4 linked regions of the Yarrowia lipolytica genome follow. The protein of the gene in region 2 interacts with the protein of the main gene of each other region in a pairwise test. Links are inferred from orthologs where the notes say so. Each region holds a gene or a part of one and is shown on either strand. Other genes may lie near its edges.

Region 1 (3,132 bases), on a different chromosome or scaffold from region 2:
GAGTCCAGTAGTTGAGAGCAGCCTCGTCCTTATCTCGAAGAGAGAGGCCAATGAGACGGCCCGAGGACAGAGACAGCACCAGCGTGACATCGTCCATGCGGTTCACGTGCTCAATCACCTCACCACTGTATAGCTTAATCTGGGTCTCCACCTGCTGTCGTGTTCGCAGGTACCCTTCAGCAGCTGCACCTCCCACTGACTCCCAGAAGACACACAAACCAGAATTGACACCCACTAGCACCAGACCGGGATGTCCAACGTCCTTGAAACTCGGCGTCACGGGGATCAGGTGACCCAGAGCATTATCCTGGACTCCCAGACTATGTGTAAAGGTCTCTGGGGTCGGCTCAGGAGATGTGTACTTCCACACATGTGCCTTGTTCCCCACAACCACCAGCCCAAAGTCGTCAGATAGCGATGAGCTCACATGCTCACCGGAATCAAAAGCAATCTCCACTCCTGATAGATCGGGTCTTGCTGCCAATCGCGTCACATTGTACATGGCCGTGCGGGTGATTTCGGAGCCATAATCCGCCAGACTGTCCTCCACAGCCGACAGGTTGGTGAACGACTTTTCCGTCACATCGTCGTTGAAGAGCGTCGCAGGCACAACTCGGTTGAGTTCTTGCTGCACCGCTTTTTGCCGCAGCTTTCGAATATTGCCAATTTGCGACATGGATGGATGTGTCTGTGTTTGTGTTTGGATCTTTTTGTGCAACTCTCAATTGCCTGCATTAGGGTTAGGGTCTACCAGGAGGTGGATTATGTTGTGGAATGATGGTTGTCGTAATTGCACAAAGAACCAACTACAATGGACTTTTAAACCCTTGATAGTGCCGTCACGGCGACTCCTGTTATTGTTTTGTGTCTTTGGACGCTCTATTGTCTCGTTCTTCTTGCAAATACTACCCTAAGTAAAATACCAACTAATACGAGGTTCACAACAAAGGATTAACAAAATTGACACAACCTACGGGCCAACTAATAGTCAAGTAGGCCCTCAACAACATTCTCGCTCTTTCTGAAACCAACAACATCAACTGGGAACCAGGAAAGTAAAGATATAGCTATATATCAGTTATTAACTCGTCAATTAATACGACCAGATTGGATTATACATTTTACTATCGTATGTGATTGTAACATCACCATCATTCTTAACAAAATCCTCAACCCTTTTCAATCAAGTTGGTGGTTGATAGAAACTAAAGCTGTAATAGATACTATACCCAACTCATACCTTCATCTCATATACATATGCTCGCTACAAATTATTTCTCCCAATCCTCTTGTTTGCCACTCACAATAGTGGCGATGATTAGTAAACTGATCTCAGTAGGTTTTCAATAGTAAGACACCCAAAAGTAGCCATTGACGTACGAAAAGTGTGCGTGTTTTTTTGAAAATTAGGTGTCACATGACCATAATAATCACTTTTCATATCACGTGACCAAATCATCTCGCACAGTCGTCCAAACACCTCCGTCTACTGACATTTCTACTACTCCATCTTATCAGGGTAAGGGCAACCGTAACTGTAAAAAATTTATGCAGGCGGTGAAATTTTCGCCTACGCAGACATTACACCGAACCACAGTTACAGGTACAGCAAGAAAATATGTTGCGACAAGTGAAACCGAAAAACGCTCGGGCCAAGCGAGCCGTCGATGCCAAGGAGCCCAAGATTGTCGAGAACACAAAGCAGGCGCTGTTTGTGCCCGGCCAGACCTCCAACCAGCTTCTTCACGATGCCATGGTGGATCTTTGTGCTCTCAAGCTGCCCGATGGCAAGCGATTCAACAAGAAGAACGAAATCAACCCCTTTGAGGATGTGTCCTCGTTGGAATTCTTCTCGGAAAAAAACGACACATCTCTGCTGGTCTTTTCGTCGTCTAACAAGAAGCGACCCAACAACCTGACCTGGATCCGAACGTTTGGATACCAGCTCTTCGACATGATCGAGCTGCAGATTGTCAACCACCGACTGTTACGAGATTTCAAGGCCCAGACTGTGGGTGTGGGTCTCAAGCCCATGTTTACCTTCAACGGTACCGGCTTTGAAACCGACCCTGTTCTGATGCATGTCAAGTCTCTGTTTCTGGACTTCTTCCGAGGCGATACCACCGATCTGCAGGATGCTGCCGGTCTGCAATATATCATTTCAATCTCTGCCGGCGAGGTGCAGGAAGACAAGCCTCTGCCTCTGATCAACTTCCGAGTTTACAAGATCCGATCTTTCCGATCTGGCCAGAAGCTTCCTCGAATCGAGCTGCAAGAAATCGGCCCCCGATTCGACTTCAAGATTGGCCGACGACAGGCTGCTGCTCCTGACGTGGAGAAGGAGGCTCTGCGAGTGCCTGAGCAGCTGCGACAGAAGACCAAGAAGAACGTGGAGGTGGACAACATGGGTGACAAGATTGGCCGAGTCCACGTGGGTAAGCAGGATCTGGGCAAGCTGCAGACCCGTAAGATGAAGGGTCTCAAGAAGAAGTACGACCAGGTCGAGGACGACGAGGAAGCCGATGACGAGGTGGTCACCACCAAGAAGGCCCGAGTGGAAGAGGAGGAGTATTTTAATGAGTAATTGATAGAATGCATTTTAATGATAACCGTTTGTGTAGCCACGTGAACAAACTCCAAATTTTTTCATCAAACAAAAGAGATTGCGTATTCCGTTCGATTCATCAAGGGTAGATATCTATTTAATTTTTAGTATTAGTATTATATTAGATTGTTTCGTATGTCACGATACCAGAAAACATTCTGAAACTGTCTTCCATGTGGTTTTTATCGAACTGATGTCAAAAGGAGAAAAAACGACCAGTAGAGTCGTCTTCCAACCAACCACGGCGTCAATAAAAAGTGATTTATAGATGGATATGTATCTTTTTAAATGAATTGAGATGTTCTCAGACAAGTATAAATACACGGCAAGTGCAGTATTACCTGAACATAATTACAAAAGATCAAGCGTCTACAACTACAAACTCTCTACGACTCAAATATTCGGGTGGGACTCTTTGGTCCATGATTTATTACCCAAGAGGTTCGGATTTTCACCTACTCCTCTCAAACTAGATAAACAGGTTCGGTCAGTTACGTCCTCCGGCTAAGAGGTTCACCGCCTACTCC
Region 2 (5,362 bases):
CCAAGTAAACGTCAGAAAAGGGATTGAATGAGCCTCCCATTGATATCGGCGCCTGATCCGTTGTATCAGAATGGCCATGCCTTGTCAAAGCGTACTTGTACAAGTACGTTTGTATATACACTTATTAGAATTATATTGCAAGCTTTTGTAGTGCGGAACATGCTTCCTCTTTTTCTTCTCCGATTTTGTTAGATTATTTCTGATTTTTGACGATTTTATAAACATTGTTGGATAAATATAACTGGATTATCCGTACAATTTCAACTCTTACTGTACAGTAGTATGTACATTCGTAAAATGGTATGTATCTACACATACAAGTGTAAAGTCCAGATCACTTCAGACCTGGAAGGTAACAGACCGAACCGGTTGTCTGGTTGTCTGGTTGTCTGGAAACGTGTGATCCCAGAACCATCTGGAGATTCCAGACTCTTTGGTCGCCAAGTTATACAAACAGCAGCTCACATAAAACAATCTATTACCATAATCTATTTTCATACACCCTCTAAGAAAAGTCCTCATCATCGGATTGCAGGTACTGAGCGTAGTCGTCCATGGAGCCGAAAGTAGGCAGGTCGGAAAACTTCTTCTTCTTCTGCTTCTTGTCTCCATCATCACCGGCCTTTCGCTTGAGAGTGACCTCGTCGTCAGAAGCAATGAGGTTATCCTCATCGTCAGAGAAGTCTAGAGCAGGCTCATCATCAGAGTCAGCAGCACCTTCCTCATCCTCGTCTTCAGCTTCTTCGAAGAAGGCGGCCTCGTCCTTCTTAGAGGGCTTCTCAGACTCGGACTTCTCCTCCTCCAGATCAGAATCGGAGAAGTCGGAGAAATCTCCCTCCTCGAGCTCACCATCAATCTTGTCGAGCTCAGGGTCATCAGAGAAGTCGTCCATGTCCATATCGATGTCGTCTTCTTCGGGATCAATGTCGGGTTGGGATTTCACCATAGCATCCCAAACTTCGTCGTCGTCAAGTTCAGAATCACCTCCGATATCCTGGTACTCATCCTCCTTGGACAGCTTCTTGGTCTCCTCCTTAAGCTGCTTAGGCTGGAAGTAGTTATAGAAGAAGACATCCTCGGGGGCAACCTTGTCCTTGTTTCGATCCTTCCACTCCTGAACGTTGACGGGCTGGGCAGTGTTGGAGCCCTTGAGTCCGACCAACAGGTTGTTGGCAGCAGCTCCACCAGCCAGAGGCTGCATGATAGAGTTACCCTTGAGCTTCTGCTGCTGCTTGGGGTTTCGGTAGACGAACTTGTCGAGGAAGTGGGCCAGAGAATGCAGATCAAGATCGGGCTTGGCCAGAGACTCGCCTCTGTTGACGTAGTTTTCGGCGTAGGCAGTCACCGAAGGGTGGTAGTGTCTCAGAAGGAACTGAAGCTCGTAGAGAGAGGTGGTGTTAGCGTTTGCGAACAAGGGGTCACGCTTCTTTCCATCGTAAGAGTCCTCCTTGTGGGTCTGAGACTCGCCGCTATCCACCGACTTTTTAGAGGTATCAATGTTGACCATGAGTCCATCATCTTCCTCCTCCTTGACATCTGTAAACTCCTCGAGGCCGGTAGAAACGTTGGAGAGGGCCTCCACACCGCCAGAGATCTTTCTCACTTCTCCCAGAAGGTAAACCATACCGACTACTGAGCCAGTCTTGAGCCATCCAAGAGCAACTTGCACCATTCGCTTAGCAAAGGCCTGGACTCGCTGAACGTTGGTGTCAGCCTTGATACTTTTGAACAGCAGGTTGAGGTATAGTCCCTGCTTGGAAGAATCAACAAGACGGGGATCAAGGAGGGACTCGTAGAGAGTTCGGTAATATCGATCCTTTTGAGCGTCCTGGCACACTTGGAACAAGAGAGACAGAGCCTGGATGGCTGTACCGAAGTTGGCAGAGTGAGTAATTCTGAAAAGGGAGTCAATGTGCTTAGAAAACTCAGCCTCTGTCAGATTAGAAAAGGGGAACGCTCGGTTCAGGCCAGAGAGAATAGCAGAGATGAGTTTCTGGTTAGCTTCGTCCTTCTGTGTCTCGACAGTCTTCTGCTGCTGCTTGACACCTCCCTTCTTACCCTTGCCGGCGTTGTGACGCGACTTATGCTTGCCCTTGGTATCCTTAGCGTCCTTCTTTGTGAGATCCTTGTCGAAATCGGCCTCGTTCTCCTTTAGCACCTTCTCAAACAACAGGAAGTAGTTGGTGACAAGAGTGTTGGCCAGATCAGTGTCCCTTGATGTAAGAATACTCTGGTTGAGGGTGATGGCAGAGTAGTACTGGGAATGGTAGTCAGAGCCGGGTCGGAAAACAAGCTCCCAGATGGAGTTGATTACAATACCCTTCATGGCAGGGTGGGCCTGCATGAGCTGAAGCAGGTGGTATGACGTCTGAGAGCAGACAACGGTATCCTTGTCACCCAGCTTGTTGACAGCCAGTCGGAGCAAGTTGACTTCCTGCTCAGGCTTGGCCTTGAGAAGGTCGACAATGTGGGCTACCACCGAAGACCGCAGATGGGTGACAGTGTCGTGCGAAATTCCCTCCATGATCTGAAGCAGCTCAAAGTACTGGGTCTTGAGCCAGTCTTCAAAAGCCCAGATGGCGAGGTACTCAGGTGCCGAGTTTTTCTGGACAGGCTGGTTCTTGAACCATCTTAGTTTTCGATCAGGAAGAACACCAGCGTTGATAAACAGGTCCTTCAGAGCCTCCAGACCCTGGAGAGCAGAGGTTCTGCCCTTCTTCTTACAAAGGTACATGAGCTGTTCGAACGACTTGAGATTGTGCAGAGGAGAGTCGTGGATAAGCAGGGTGTAAGTGGAAATCTTATCACTCAGAGTACCGGAAGTGAGCATCTGCTGCATGAACGTTTGTTGCGACGATTGCTGGTTGCCCTTGTATGTGTCTTGATCCTGCTTGAGCAGCTTCATACCCTGATCCTTCAATGACTCGACGTCAGTCTCTGAAATGGGTTCGAGGGTCTCAGGCACGTCAATCTGATGGTTGTACCAATCAGGACGAGGAGGCACGGCAGTGGGAGTCTTGATGTCCTGGGGGAGAGACATGGCCTCAATAAGCTTCTCCTTGGCAGAAGGGCCAGTAGAAATGATAGGCTTAGCGGGAGCAGGCTCGTCGTCAGAGTCAGACTCGGATTCTTCATCGTCCTCCTCTGTGTCCTCATCCTCGTCATCCTCCATCCCCTCATCATCGTCCTCCTCTTGTTCCTCCTCAACGTCCTCATCCTTGACATCCTCGACGAGTTGAGGAACGTCTCCATCGAGTCCAATGTCCTTCATGAACTTGAGCAGATCTCCAGAATCAATCTTGGAGCCGTTTGAAGGGTTCACAACCACATCATCCTCTCCATCAGACAGGTCCTCCACGAGTTTGAGATCCTCTTCGGTTCCTCCGAGCTCCAGGATCTCGGCCAGCAGAGAATCAGGCTTGAATTCCTTGGTCTTGGTCTTGGTCGACTTGTCCGAGCTGGAGTCCTGGCTCTTGGTCCTGGACCCCTTACTCTTCTCGGTCTTGTCAGATCCCTTGGTCTTCGAGGGCTTTACCTCAGTGACCTTCTCTTCCTCCTTCTTGCCGAACTTGGATTTGTTGAAGTTCTTGGCCTTCTTCTTCATGGCTTCAGCCTCCTCCTTCTTGCGCTGCTCATGCTCCTTCTTCTTGGCCTCTCGGGCATCGTTCTTAGCCTTGTTCTCAGCCTTGACGGCATTCTTGGCGTCCTTTTTCTTGGAGTTTTTATCGTTGGCCGTGTCCAACTTGGCCTTGATTTTGTCGGCCAAATTGGAAAACGACGATGTTTCCAGTGACATTATCGATGTGTAGTGCTGTCGTGGTGGAGAGAAAAATATCCTGCATCAAAATCAACCTTCAGATATTTTTTTCAGTCGTGCATGAACCTTAAATTATTTTCAGAGGTTATGAATGGAGAAGGACGGCAAGTAGCGATTTGAAAGACCTGATATGAGAATAAATACAGCAAGAAAAAATAATTACAGCTATAACAAACTTATAATCTTTTTTATGATTTTTTTTTTTGTATTTCTTGAAAAATCTTTTTGAGAGATGAACCGCGATAGTGCATCTTAAGTTGACAAACAGTGACATCCCCCGAGAGAAGTGAAAAACAGAAATTCTGCTCTATATATGGGTTTGTATTTACATGAGCTGGATTCGGGGGTGGCTCCTGTGTTTCCAAATGATTGCTTTGTCACCTCTTCGTACCCTGTACAGTACATACAGGGTATACGAGGCTCGTTATATGTGTGTAAAAGTGCTTATACAATTTGAGAAACACGTGATTTTGCGAATGAATCAGTAAAAATGGAAGCAAATACTTGTAAAACTCGGATATATAACTTGTAAGTATTTGTACATTGTGCTTCTACCAAGTTCCTCATTCTCTGTTCTACCCGTACGAGTACATACTTGACATTCGGTCGATCATGTCCCTGTACATACACAACAGTTGTACCGTACGCCGGACATGTGACCTTGTGAGTTCTCTAGATTGATCGTAAGGATGATACTACCCTATCTGTTTCAATGAGTCAGATATGGTACCTGTTTGAAACTTCTGGGACCCGTGGGAATCAACGGGTGTCACTAACAGCCACTAGCAATGTTCAGACCAAAGAAGAAACGAAGGTGTCTGACGGGAAAAAAACATAGAACCAACGATAAAATTGCCCTAGGGACTGCTCGACCCGATGTGTTGGCGTCTCATGTGTAACCAGGGAAGTAACAGCGGCCCTCCCGAGGTTCAACATTGTGATACTGCACGGTATTCAGACTGTAGCACTGTGTTTTTGCACGGTCGAGTATCGCATGTACTACAAAGTAGTACCTACTTTTACTCGTGGAGATTCTCTTGTGATTCAGTGACACGTTGATACCTGCGACTCAGTGCTCTGCAGCGTCATTACTTTGCAACTATGCTTGGCCATCGTACATTCCCGAGTCGATCACGTTTCCCCAACAGGAGTAAACACTTCGATACGGTTTATGGCTTGACGTTCATCACGAGATCCGAAAAAGCAAGCACAATATGTGGATTCTGGTGATTATTCTAGTCTGCCTGAACGGGGACTTCAGATACCACTTACCATGGCTACAAGTAGGGTACAAGTGTAACAGTCCAAGTCCCTTGAGATACTGGGGTTCACTTTTCACGGTTTGGTGATGATGACAATGTCGATCTTTCTTCTCCACACAACCGGCACGATATATCATCATTGACGCTGAAACAATTCACATGCTGGTTTCAGAGCCTCACCTGAGCGGACTGAGACAGAGCAAAGAGTGAGTAACTGGCTACAATAGAATCAAAAGACGCTTTGGCGAAGCAAAACGCTGCTGGTTCACACACACATATCGCT
Region 3 (5,676 bases), on a different chromosome or scaffold from region 2:
ATACAGTCGTGAGCGCCAGAGATTGGACTATGAAAATGTGGAGCATCAAGCAGAAAATGCACTCGTGTGCTAAAGAGAAGAAGAAGCATCCACACTCACATTCTCTGACACAAAGTGATACATACATTCGTTCTGGAGAGAGAGTGAGGGTGTGGAAGCTTCCTGAAAAGGATAGGCATGTAGAATACAGCAGTGCCTGTGCACATTTTGCGGGCTGTAAGAATTCTCTCAGAGCAACTGACATCCATGGAGATACCCTTGTGCGGATTCTTGTACAACAGTGCGTGTAGGGATCCTGACTAACCCGGAGAGTGCCAATATGTGCTTGAAGGACATTAAAAGCGTGCGTACGATGTTGCTCATGTCCTCATTACTGTAGAGGTGTATGTTACTCGGGGTTTCCTTATGGGGTTATTCAGAAGTGGAACTTGGACTCTGGCACTTGTTTGTCAGTGCTGGAAGGCTGTAAGCGCATGGTTAATCTGCTGTGTCACGACGAATCCCTGGGTTCGGCATCAATTCATTTCAAAACTGGTGTTTAGAATCCAGGAATCTGGAGAGCTTGTCTACATCAGAGTCCATGGAATATCGTGCATTAGATAACATTAGATTAGTTCCCGTGGAAGAAGTATTCAGTGGTCCTCCGCAGAGGAACTGTCTCGGTCAATTTGGGCAAGGAAGTAGTTTCTCAGCCACTTGTTGTAGTGTCCAACGTCAACGCGGAATATGATAGGCTGTTTGTCGGTATCATAACGAGTCTGATTTATTTAATCGACTGTTACTCAACTATAGGGTTGAATTGAAGATCATGGGTGTTGATGAATTGAAAATGACTTCATGAGAACATGAGCACAGGAGCGTCTGAATGAACAGAAGAGGTCGGACTCCTCAGCACAAGATACAACACAGCACGCACCTGGAGGGACACAGCATATGGTCTCCTTTAATGGATTGACCCCAACACTGTTACACTGGACTTGTCGAAAGAACATTGCTTAACCACATCTCGTGTCTTGCCACTATTTTTCGAAATCGTGTACAGTGAACTTCTTATTTGGTGGCTCTGTGCGTGGGTATGAAGAGATTGTATATAAATATATCAACATTTAATTTGTATAATATAATTTTGTATAATATAATTTTATTATAATATATTGTATAATATTTGCAGTATATTCGATAATATTGGACTGTAATTGTGACTTGTACAGAGGCATGTCCCCTTACAGCAGAAGTTCACCCCCAACACTCCCATTGCAGTGTCAATCTAGAATTTGACATTTTCTATTTCTTTTTTAAAAAAAGGAATAGCCGAGAATCGAAGTGAGTGACACCGCAACCATAATGCCACAGTGGAGACACGATATTGGAATGCCAACAAGTTAAGACTACTACAAATGTAATATACACCAGAATACCATCTCGTATTACCCCAGAAATCTCCCCAAACAGCCCACACCACTATCCACCTCTTCTCCCACCAACCTGATAAACTCGCAGTGCATCAACTCTAATATTTTTTTCAAGTCTTCTGCAAAGTGACAATTGCAGTTGCACGCACCATCTACAAATGTCCGAACTCGACCATACGGAACCGCTGGAGGACAAGCTGGACCGGATCCGCGTCCATGTCAACTCCAAGCTGGCCAACCAGAAACAGTTGGCCATTATTTTGGGAGCCGTGGAGGAGAATCTCGAGGAGGAAAAGACCGAGAAGACCGCCACCTCCTACTTCATTTCTTTCCTTGCTCTGCTAGAGCAATCGTTCAGCCGCCAGGCCCCCGATCAGCTCGAGAATACCGATCTAGCCGCCTCGGCTCTCTATTTCCTCGACCTTGTGTCTCCCTTCGCCAGCGAATCTCTTCTGCGGGCCAAGTTTTCGCAGATTTTCGTCAAGCTCGCACCCGTGTTGGGCTCGTCCGATTCCGAGTCTGCGCTACTCAGATCCGCCATTGGCACTCTGCAGCATCTGCTGCTGGCCCAGGATGCTGCCTCGTGGCAGACCCCTGCTTCTGAGCTGTCTCCCCGACGAGGAGTGGTTGGTCTGATGCATCTGGCCGTCAATCCCCGTCCCAAGATCAGAAAGCGAGCTCTGGACGCACTTGCCAAGATCCTCGAGACCCGAGTATCTCCAGTGCTCGTCGAGCATCCTGCTGCCGCAACCTGTGCCGACACAGCCCTGAAGGCCGTCAAGCAGTACCTGGAGAACCACAAGAAGGAGGATACCGTGGATGCCGGCTTCATGCATGCGCTGGCTCTGGTGAAAACCATCTGTGGCGTTGGAATGTGGCCTATGTCGCAGTTTGACGAACTCTGTCAGCTGCTGCTGTCTATTTCCAAGACTACCAACCAGATGCTGATCCAGGCTACCTTTGGCATCTTTGAGGGTGTCTTTCGTCACTTTGCCAAGTCTGAAGAGGACGAGAACAACAAGACACGAAAATTGCTGGTTATTCTCGATGCTGTGATCGACCAGGCTCCCGCCACCAACGACCAGCATCTTGCTCCTGCCTGGTTTGCTGTTGTTGCCCAGGGAGTGGGTGCTCTTGGAGAGGTCAACCCTGATAAGGGACTGGCCAAGACCCCCGTGGTTTTCCAGAAGGTATGTGCCTATCTCGACTCTGAGGCCGACAGTGTGCGAACCTCTGCTTCCCAGTGTCTCGTTGCTCTGTGTTCTTCCATCAACCAAAAGTCGCTTCAGAACGGCGACAAGTGGCTGTCCAAGCTCGCGGAGATGGCCACGATGCTTCTGTCCGTCCAGACCCGGGCTTCTCTCGTCGACTCTACGAACGTTGTGGCAGCTCTACTCGACACTCTCAGATGGAAGTCCGACCCCTTCCTTGTGGAGGCTGTGACAATTATTGGAGGTCTCCGAACTGAGGAGTCCTTCGTTAACGGCATTCCTGCTCTCGACAACGCTCTTGGGTCCGCTATTCGTGCCATGGGACCTGCCAAAGTGCTAGAACTGCTCCCCCTCAACCTTTCAAACCCCTCTTCTGACAACCCCGGACGAGCCTGGATGCTCCCTCTACTGAGAGACAACATTCACAATTCAGAGATTGCCTTTTTTAAGAGCGAGTTCTTGCCACTGATCGAGTATTTTGACGACAAGATCTCGACTACCAAGGGCGCCACCGCAAAGGTCTTCGAGGCTCTGCTGGCCCAGGTCTGGTCCGTTCTGCCCCGTTTCTGCGCTCTGCCCATGGATCTCCAGCAGTCGTTTGACCAGTCTTTTGCCGAGCTGCTCTCCAACAAGCTCTATTCCAACATTGAGATCCGACCTGTTATCTGCCAGTCGCTGCGTCTGCTTGTCGAGAGCAATGTGGTGTACGCCGAGGAGCCCGAGGCTGCTGAGTCCGAGGATGTGAACGACGACCTGCTGCTTCTGGAGCGATTCCCCCGATCCGAGGCCGAGTCTAACGTTGCCTACCTCGGAACCGTGTCTTCCAAGATTCTTGCGGTGCTCTTCAACGTGTACGGACAAACTATTCCCGAGTCTCGAGGCTTCATTCTCGAGTGCATCAACGCCTACCTCGGCATCACCCCCGCCGGCGAAATTGGCGACATCTTCGATAACGTGTGTGGAATGCTTCACAAGGCTCTGGAGGATGAGGCCAAGGAGTCTAAGCCTGAGAAGGACGCCCTGCCAGCAATGTCGCTCACCATGCTTGACATTCTCATCGCCCTCGTGCCTTACATCCCTGCCTCTTCTCACAACACTCTGCTGACCGTCTTTGTGCAGATGATCCAGAACTCCGACCCCAACCACCAAAAGAAGGGCTACCGTCTTTTGACCCGTCTGGCCGAGGCCGACAACAGCTTCGAGACTCTGGAGAAGCATCTTGACAACATCTGTGGTGTTGTTCTCGAGTCTGCTGAGTCTGTCACTGCTGTGTCTCGAGGCGCTCGAGTGGCCGCTCTGGCGAAGCTGGTGGCTCTGCTGCCCGAGAACGATCTGTATTTCATCCCCGCTACCGTCTCTGAAGCCGTCATTGCCACCAAGGACGTCAACGAGAAGACCCGAACGTCCGCTTACAACTTACTGGTTCTCATGGGCGAAAAGATGGCTCGAGGAGGAGTAATTGACAACACTCGAATCCCCGGTCTCGAGGATGCCGGTCTGGGATCCGTCAACGCCAACCTGACTGAGTTCTTCAAGGCCGTGTCTGCTGGTCTGGCAGGAACCTCACCCAACCTGGTGTCTGCCACCATCACGGGTCTGTCCCGAATCTTGTTCGAGTTCAAGGACGACGTGCCCATGGATATGCTCAGCGAGCTGTCTCAAACCGTTGAGCTGTTCCTGACCTCGCAGAACAGAGAGATCGTCAAGTCGACTCTTGGTTTCGTCAAGATTACGGCCATCTCTCTCCCCATCGATCTCGTGGAGCCCCAGCTCAGCGAGCTTCTCCCAAAGCTGCTGCACTGGTCCCACGAACATAAGGGCCATTTCAAGGCCAAGGTCAAGCACATTGTCGAGCGTCTGATCCGACGGTTCGGCTTCGACACCATTGAAAAGCATTTCCCCGAGGCCGACAAGAAGCTGCTGACCAACATCCGAAAGTCTAAGGAGCGATCCAAGCGAAAGCGAACCGAGGAGAAGGAGGAAGATGCTCCCATGTCGTCTACCAAGCCCAAGAAGGAGTTTGCCTCTGAGTACGAGCGAGCTCTGTACGGAGACTCGGATTCTGAAGACGAGGATGACTATGAGGAGGAGGAGACCACCAAGCGGGCCTCCAAGTACATTATGAAGTCCGACGACCCTCTGGATCTGCTGTCGCAGCAGGCTCTGGCTCACATCACTTCTTCCAAGCCTAGAGGAAAGAAGGAGCCTCTTCTCAAATCGTCCAAGTTCAAGACTAATGAGTCCGGTAAGATGATCTTTAAGGAGGATGAGGAGGAGGACGTGATTCCCCAGGGCTCGGCCATCGACCATTACGTTGAGGCCATCAAGAACGGACCTGTGCGAGGACAGAAGAACAAGTACAAGTATAAGAAGTCAAAGGGAGGAGATGACGACGGAGGAGATGATGACGACGTGGTGCCCAAGCGACCCACCAAAAAGTTTTCTCGAGGTGGCGTGAGCAAACCCAAGGGCAAACCTCAGCAGCGACGAAAGTTTTAATTGAATTGTATTATTGAATGGTTATGAATATATACGGAGATGGTGTACAATATGTAGTGTAGAAGGACTGGGAACTTGACGTAGACATGGTCTGGAAACTTACTGAGAAGCTGATTCCTACACCTGTCGGGGGAGATATTCGTAAAGCCTCGAGGCATACAAAAGTATCGGTACTGTACAGTACATCAAATACCAGTAGTGTGCACACAGAACTTATCGATCCGTTTGCACAGGCACTGCAAGAAGTCGATTTTTTTTTTATTCTAATGATTCGTGTGTATCGTTATTGAGTCTTTGCGACATCGGGGAGTTGAAGTTTGGAGTAGGGGTATGGTTGTTATGTTTTTGAGGTTTTTTTTTTTTTTAGTTTAGTTTTTTTTTTTTTTTTTCTAATGATTTCTTCGTTTTTTCAGAAGTTTTGAAACTACACAGAACCACCCACCTACATCTCAATAAAAAACTTGGGCGTCTGGTGTAAGGACCAAAGTCGCTTATAAGGGCTTGGGGACGGTGCCGGGTCACGTCAAGGGTGACTGTTTTCCCCCCTGGGACGC
Region 4 (4,823 bases), on a different chromosome or scaffold from region 2:
TGAGGCTTCTGACGCCTTCTACTATGTTTAATTCGATCCTATGTAATGACGTCAGGGTTAAACCTCATGTCTTCTGTGTTTATTTGCGTTCTCGTCTTGTATAAGCCTATGGTGGTGCGTTGAATGACATTATTTTGAAAGGTCATCCAGAGTATGTACAGTAGACTGTCGGCTTAAGTTATACTTCAGGTCAATACCTGCTGGAGATGGCTGTCCAGCTTCTACCATCCCAAATTCTCTAAGAGTAATACTACATATTGTAGGCCCATGCCTACCTTTTGATTTTTCATATTGCTGGAAATCGGAGCTGAGACTCCAGTCCATCTACAGTATTAATACCCGCAAAGGGCTCAATTTGTCTGCTGTAAACGTCAACAGTATGGTTGTATAGGACAGGAAACAAAAAGCACAGACTCCCATTGTTTTGGGGTTCTTCAAACATCGAGACAATACACATTACTGCGGACTGCATATCTATACAATAAATTCAACTATATACCATCCTTTTCTTCACTTTCGCTTACCCTTTCCCTTGGGCTTACCTCGCTTAGAGGCCTCCTTTCGATCGGTCTTGGTCTTCTTGTACATTCGGACCTCCTCGTTGTCTTTCTTCTTCTTCATCTTGTCCTTGTTGCTGGCTAGTAGATTTCGTTTGTCCGAGGTCTCATCAGCCTTCTTCTCTTGGGCATTCTGGAACCAAGTTCGCCGAGGTCGGGATGCAATCTCCTTCTCGTACTTGAGAAGGTTCTCTCCCTTTCGCACCTCCATCTCGGCCTGCAGCATGGCCTTCTCCTCCTTCTCCTCAGCCAGAATCTCGTTGACAATGTCACCCTTCTCCTCGATCTTGGAGTATAGCTTCTCGACCTCAGGCCAGTCCACGTTTCGGCCCACGGCCTTGCCCTGTTTACTCTCAGATACAGACTTGATAGCCTCGCGGACAATGGCTCTGTCAGCAGCAGCCTCCCCGACCAGAGTGATGGATCGACCTTCTCGTCCTGCTCGAGCAGTTCGTCCAACTCGATGCAGGTAGACAGCATGGGTCTGGGGCATGTCGTAGTTGACGACACACTCGATCTTGGGGATATCCAGACCTCGGGAAGCCAGATCGGTACAGACCAGAATGGGCACCTCCAGTTTTTTGAATGCTGTGATGGACTGCAGACGCTGCTCCTGAGACAGAGCTCCGTGCAGTTCTCCAATTCGGACTCCGAGCAGACCCAGCATGATTCGAAGACGATGCGCAGTCTCTTTTCGGGCCACGAAAATAATGGTTCGCTGCTCCTTGTCCATCTTCTTGAGGATGGAGGCCAGCAGAGCGGGCTTGAGATGGTCTCGCTTACGGATTCGAACAAACTCTTGCACCAGACCAGAAGCGGCCTGCTTGGGAGGGTTGATCATGACTCGAACGGGCCGAGAAAGAGACAGCTGAATAAGCGACGAAATGGACGAATTCATAGTGGCAGAGAAAAGCAGAGTCTGACGCTTCTTGGGAAGCAGTGTCAGAATCTCGGTCAGTTCCTGTTGGAAACCCTCCTCCAGCATTCGATCAGCCTCATCAATCACCAGAATCTCGACATCGTCAACGTTGAACGAGGGAGAGTTTCGAACATGATCAATAAATCGACCGGGGGTAGCAATGACAACCTCGGGTCGCGTCTTGAGCTCCTGCTCCTGAACTCGAAGGTTCAGACCACCGACAGCCAGACCGAATCGCACGCCAGAAACATACTGTGCGAGCTTCTTACCAACATCGGCGACCTGAATGGACAGCTCTCGAGTGGGAGTCAGAACCACAACCTTAGTGGCTGCGACCTTGGAGGACTTGTAGAGAAGACGCTCCAAAACAGGAATGATGTACGCAGCAGTCTTACCAGAACCAGTGACGGCACCAGCAACCAGATCCTTGCCCATGAGAGCAATGGGGATGGTTCTGCTCTGAATCGGAGTGGGGGCCTGGTATCCCAGAGCAGAAATACCCTTCATGACGGGTCTAGACAGATTCAGAGTCTGAAAGGTTTTGTGCACAGACTCAGTCTTATCGTTGTTCTCCTCCTCGGGAGCGTAGAATGCAGCCATCTCCTCGGCAGTGTCCTGGGGTCCCTCGTCGATGGCAGGGCCTTTATGGTCATCCAAAACCAAATCATCGGGGTGCATACACTCCTCAGCCTCGGAGTCGCTTCCATCAGAGTCCTCCTCCTCTTCATTCTCAACCTCTTCTTTGTTCTCCTCGTCCTCGTCCTCAGGCTCATCCATGTCCTTTCCGGGCTGGACTCCTCCTCCGAAACCATCAATGGCCAGATCATCTTCGTTCTCCTCCATCTTAACGTCTGTCTCGGCCTCGTCCTCGTCCTCGTCCTCGTCCAGAAGGCCTCCTTTTCTCTTGATAATGCTGTCCAAATCAACTTCTCGCTTCTGGACCTTGTTGTCGTCCTTGGACACCTCAAAGTTCCAGCCGTCCAGACCTTCAGAGGTGGCAGCAAATCCGTCCAGCGAAAACTGGAAGTCGGGGTTGATGCCGGCCTTGGCAGCCTGCTTTTCTCGCTCCAGTAGCTCCTCGTCGGCTTCACTGAGTTTTTGCTTCTTCTGCTTCTTTGTCAGCTTGACAGGCTTCTCCTCCACCTCTTCCTTCTCGTCTGCACTCTCCTCCTCCAGATCTTCACCGTCGGAATCTAGAGTCATGACAAAGTCGTCCTTTACTTTGGAAATCATGGCAGCCGATTGTTTGGACTTAGTAGCCTTCTTGACCGGTTTGGTCACTTTTCCCTTGACCATTTTTGTGTGTGTTATTTGCGTGCTGGTTTGAAATAGGGTGGATAATTTATTTCTGCATGGACATATTTTTCCAATAAACTCTGGATGCATTAATGACGCACAGTCATGTGATTGACGTTAGGAGGAGGGTGAGGGAGTGAGTGTTGCAGTAGAAGTACGAGTACATACTGTAGAGGGTTATAACTTGATGAATCTTGGCTGAAGTGTCAATGTGAACAGATTTTATGACCATCAAGCCATTACAATTGATCACTAATAGTCATATAATCCAAATCTGTTCTTTAATCTGTTATTACATTGTTCACCTTACGAAGTCCACCTGCCATCACACGCAGCAAGCCAGCATGTGGGTACAATAATTGCCCACAATACAAGAACAACTCATTTCACGATCATTAAATTGCATAGATAAACTGCTTCAACAACCTCTTACCTGTGATTATTTTTCATCACTTATTGTAGTCACAATATACAGTAACCTCTCTGTTGTAATTACTCCCCTGCCTCTTCTTTCGCCTCTCCCAACCGCAGCACTGCAAAACGCGTCAACACGAAGCTTTCCATTTATCACCACTGGAACGCAGTGCAAAAAAAATGCCTCCCAAAGATATCCGCAGTTTCTTTGGAGCCCAAAAGACCAAGGCGCCGGCCAAGTCCAATGACGTGAGTACCAATTGCACTGCCCATCTGTTTTGATTCACGCAAAAACCACTAACATAGAAACGGCCAGCCACCACGTCTGTGGACGAAGAGAGAAAGCCCAAAAAGGTCAAACAGGAGGTCAAACAGGAGATTAATTCCGAGCCCGAGAAGTCGCCCGTCAAGCCAAAGATTCCCGCAAAGCCCAATCCCACTGCTAAGACCAAGTCTCCTGCCAAACCTGCTCCCAAAAAGCGGACAATCCAGATTGACGATTCTGACAGCGAAGATGGAGAGGCCCCTTATGAGATAGATATGGACAGCGACGACGGGTTTGTGGACGACGATGATTTGCCCGTGAAACCTGTGCAGCGACGAACACGACGATCGGGGCCAGTCAAGGATGACGATGTGATTGAGATTGATGAGGACGACAATGTGGTCAAGAAGCCACCTCCCAAGGCAAGCGTATCAAATAAGGGCCCAATCATTGACTATGACGATCTCGATGACGACGATCTCGAGCAAATCAAGCGTGCTCCTAAAAAGGCTGCCCCCAAGCCCAAGGCTGCTCCAACGGCCGCCCCCAATGCTCGATCCGCACCTGGAGGGGCTACAGCAGAGTCTGTACTAGCGCAATTACCCGACGCCGAGCTTCCCGAGGTCGAGGAGGGGAAGAAGTTCAACTTCCGAGAGCATCTGGCCAAGAACACGGCCACTGGAAGTGGAGAAGGAGGAGGAGCAGTGGAGCTTCCTGAGGCGGCCGAAAACTGTCTGGTGGGCCTCACGTTCGTTTTCACTGGCACCATGCCCAACTTGTCGCGAGAAGAGGGTCAGGCCGCAGTCAAAAAGTACGGAGGTAAGGTCACTTCTTCCATTTCTGGTAAGACCAACTGTGTTGTTCTGGGAGAAGATGCCGGACCCAAGAAGATTGAGCAGATCAAGAAGCTCAGAACCAAGGCTCTGGATGAAGCTGGTTTCTTGGAACTGCTCAGACTCATGCCTGCTGACGGTGGAGGGGGTGCTGCTGCTGAAAAGGCGCTAGCTAAGCAGGCAGAAGAGGCCGACAAGATTGCTGCTGAGAGCGCAAAGATGGCTGCTGAGATGGCGGCGCGAGAAAAGAAGGAGAAAGCTGCATCCAAGAAGGCGGACGCTTCTGGAGCCCCTCGGGCTGTGTCTATGGATGACCAGCTGTGGACAGTCAAATACGCCCCCAACAACCTGAATCACGTTTGCGGAAACAAGGGAGCGGTGACCAAGCTACAAAACTGGCTCAACAACTGGCACGACAATGCCAAACATGGATTCAAGCAGCCTGGAAAAGATGGATTTGGCATTTATCGTGCTGTTCTGCTGTCTGGTCCCCCTGGAATCGGTAAGACTACTGCTGCGCATCTGGTGGCCAACCTTGC

Evidence for each region.
Region 1: the proteins of YALI1_D18770g (region 2) and YALI1_A04119g interact in binary tests that used the Saccharomyces cerevisiae proteins (3 or more experiments, as listed by UniProt). The link is inferred for Yarrowia lipolytica from reciprocal best matches to the Saccharomyces cerevisiae genes MAK21 and RPF2.
Region 3: the proteins of YALI1_D18770g (region 2) and YALI1_E08828g interact in binary tests that used the Saccharomyces cerevisiae proteins (3 or more experiments, as listed by UniProt). The link is inferred for Yarrowia lipolytica from reciprocal best matches to the Saccharomyces cerevisiae genes MAK21 and RRP12.
Region 4: the proteins of YALI1_D18770g (region 2) and YALI1_B22015g interact in binary tests that used the Saccharomyces cerevisiae proteins (3 or more experiments, as listed by UniProt). The link is inferred for Yarrowia lipolytica from reciprocal best matches to the Saccharomyces cerevisiae genes MAK21 and DRS1.

The regions. Positions count from the first base shown.
Region 1 is NC_090770.1:410,306-413,437, forward strand, and holds YALI1_A04119g (uncharacterized protein), read left to right. Parts: upstream 1-1,618; coding exon 1,619-2,584; downstream 2,585-3,132. Other genes in the region: YALI1_A04109g (uncharacterized protein), read right to left, coding at 1-676. UniProt on the Saccharomyces cerevisiae protein: Required for biogenesis of the 60S ribosomal subunit.
Region 2 is NC_090773.1:1,875,485-1,880,846, reverse strand, and holds YALI1_D18770g (uncharacterized protein), read right to left. Parts: upstream 3,797-5,362; coding exon 506-3,796; downstream 1-505.
Region 3 is NC_090774.1:878,765-884,440, reverse strand, and holds YALI1_E08828g (uncharacterized protein), read left to right. Parts: upstream 1-1,570; coding exon 1,571-5,122; downstream 5,123-5,676. UniProt on the Saccharomyces cerevisiae protein: In association with GSP1, required for nuclear export of both pre-40S and pre-60S ribosomal subunits. Required for the late maturation of the 18S and 5.8S rRNA of the pre-40S ribosomes and for maturation of the 25S and 5.8S rRNA of the pre-60S ribosomes.
Region 4 is NC_090771.1:2,198,732-2,203,554, forward strand, and holds YALI1_B22015g (uncharacterized protein), read right to left. Parts: upstream 2,863-4,823; coding exon 511-2,862; downstream 1-510. Other genes in the region: YALI1_B21966g (uncharacterized protein), read left to right, coding at 1-31; YALI1_B22020g (uncharacterized protein), read left to right, coding at 3,367-3,435, 3,493-4,823. UniProt on the Saccharomyces cerevisiae protein: ATP-binding RNA helicase involved in ribosome assembly.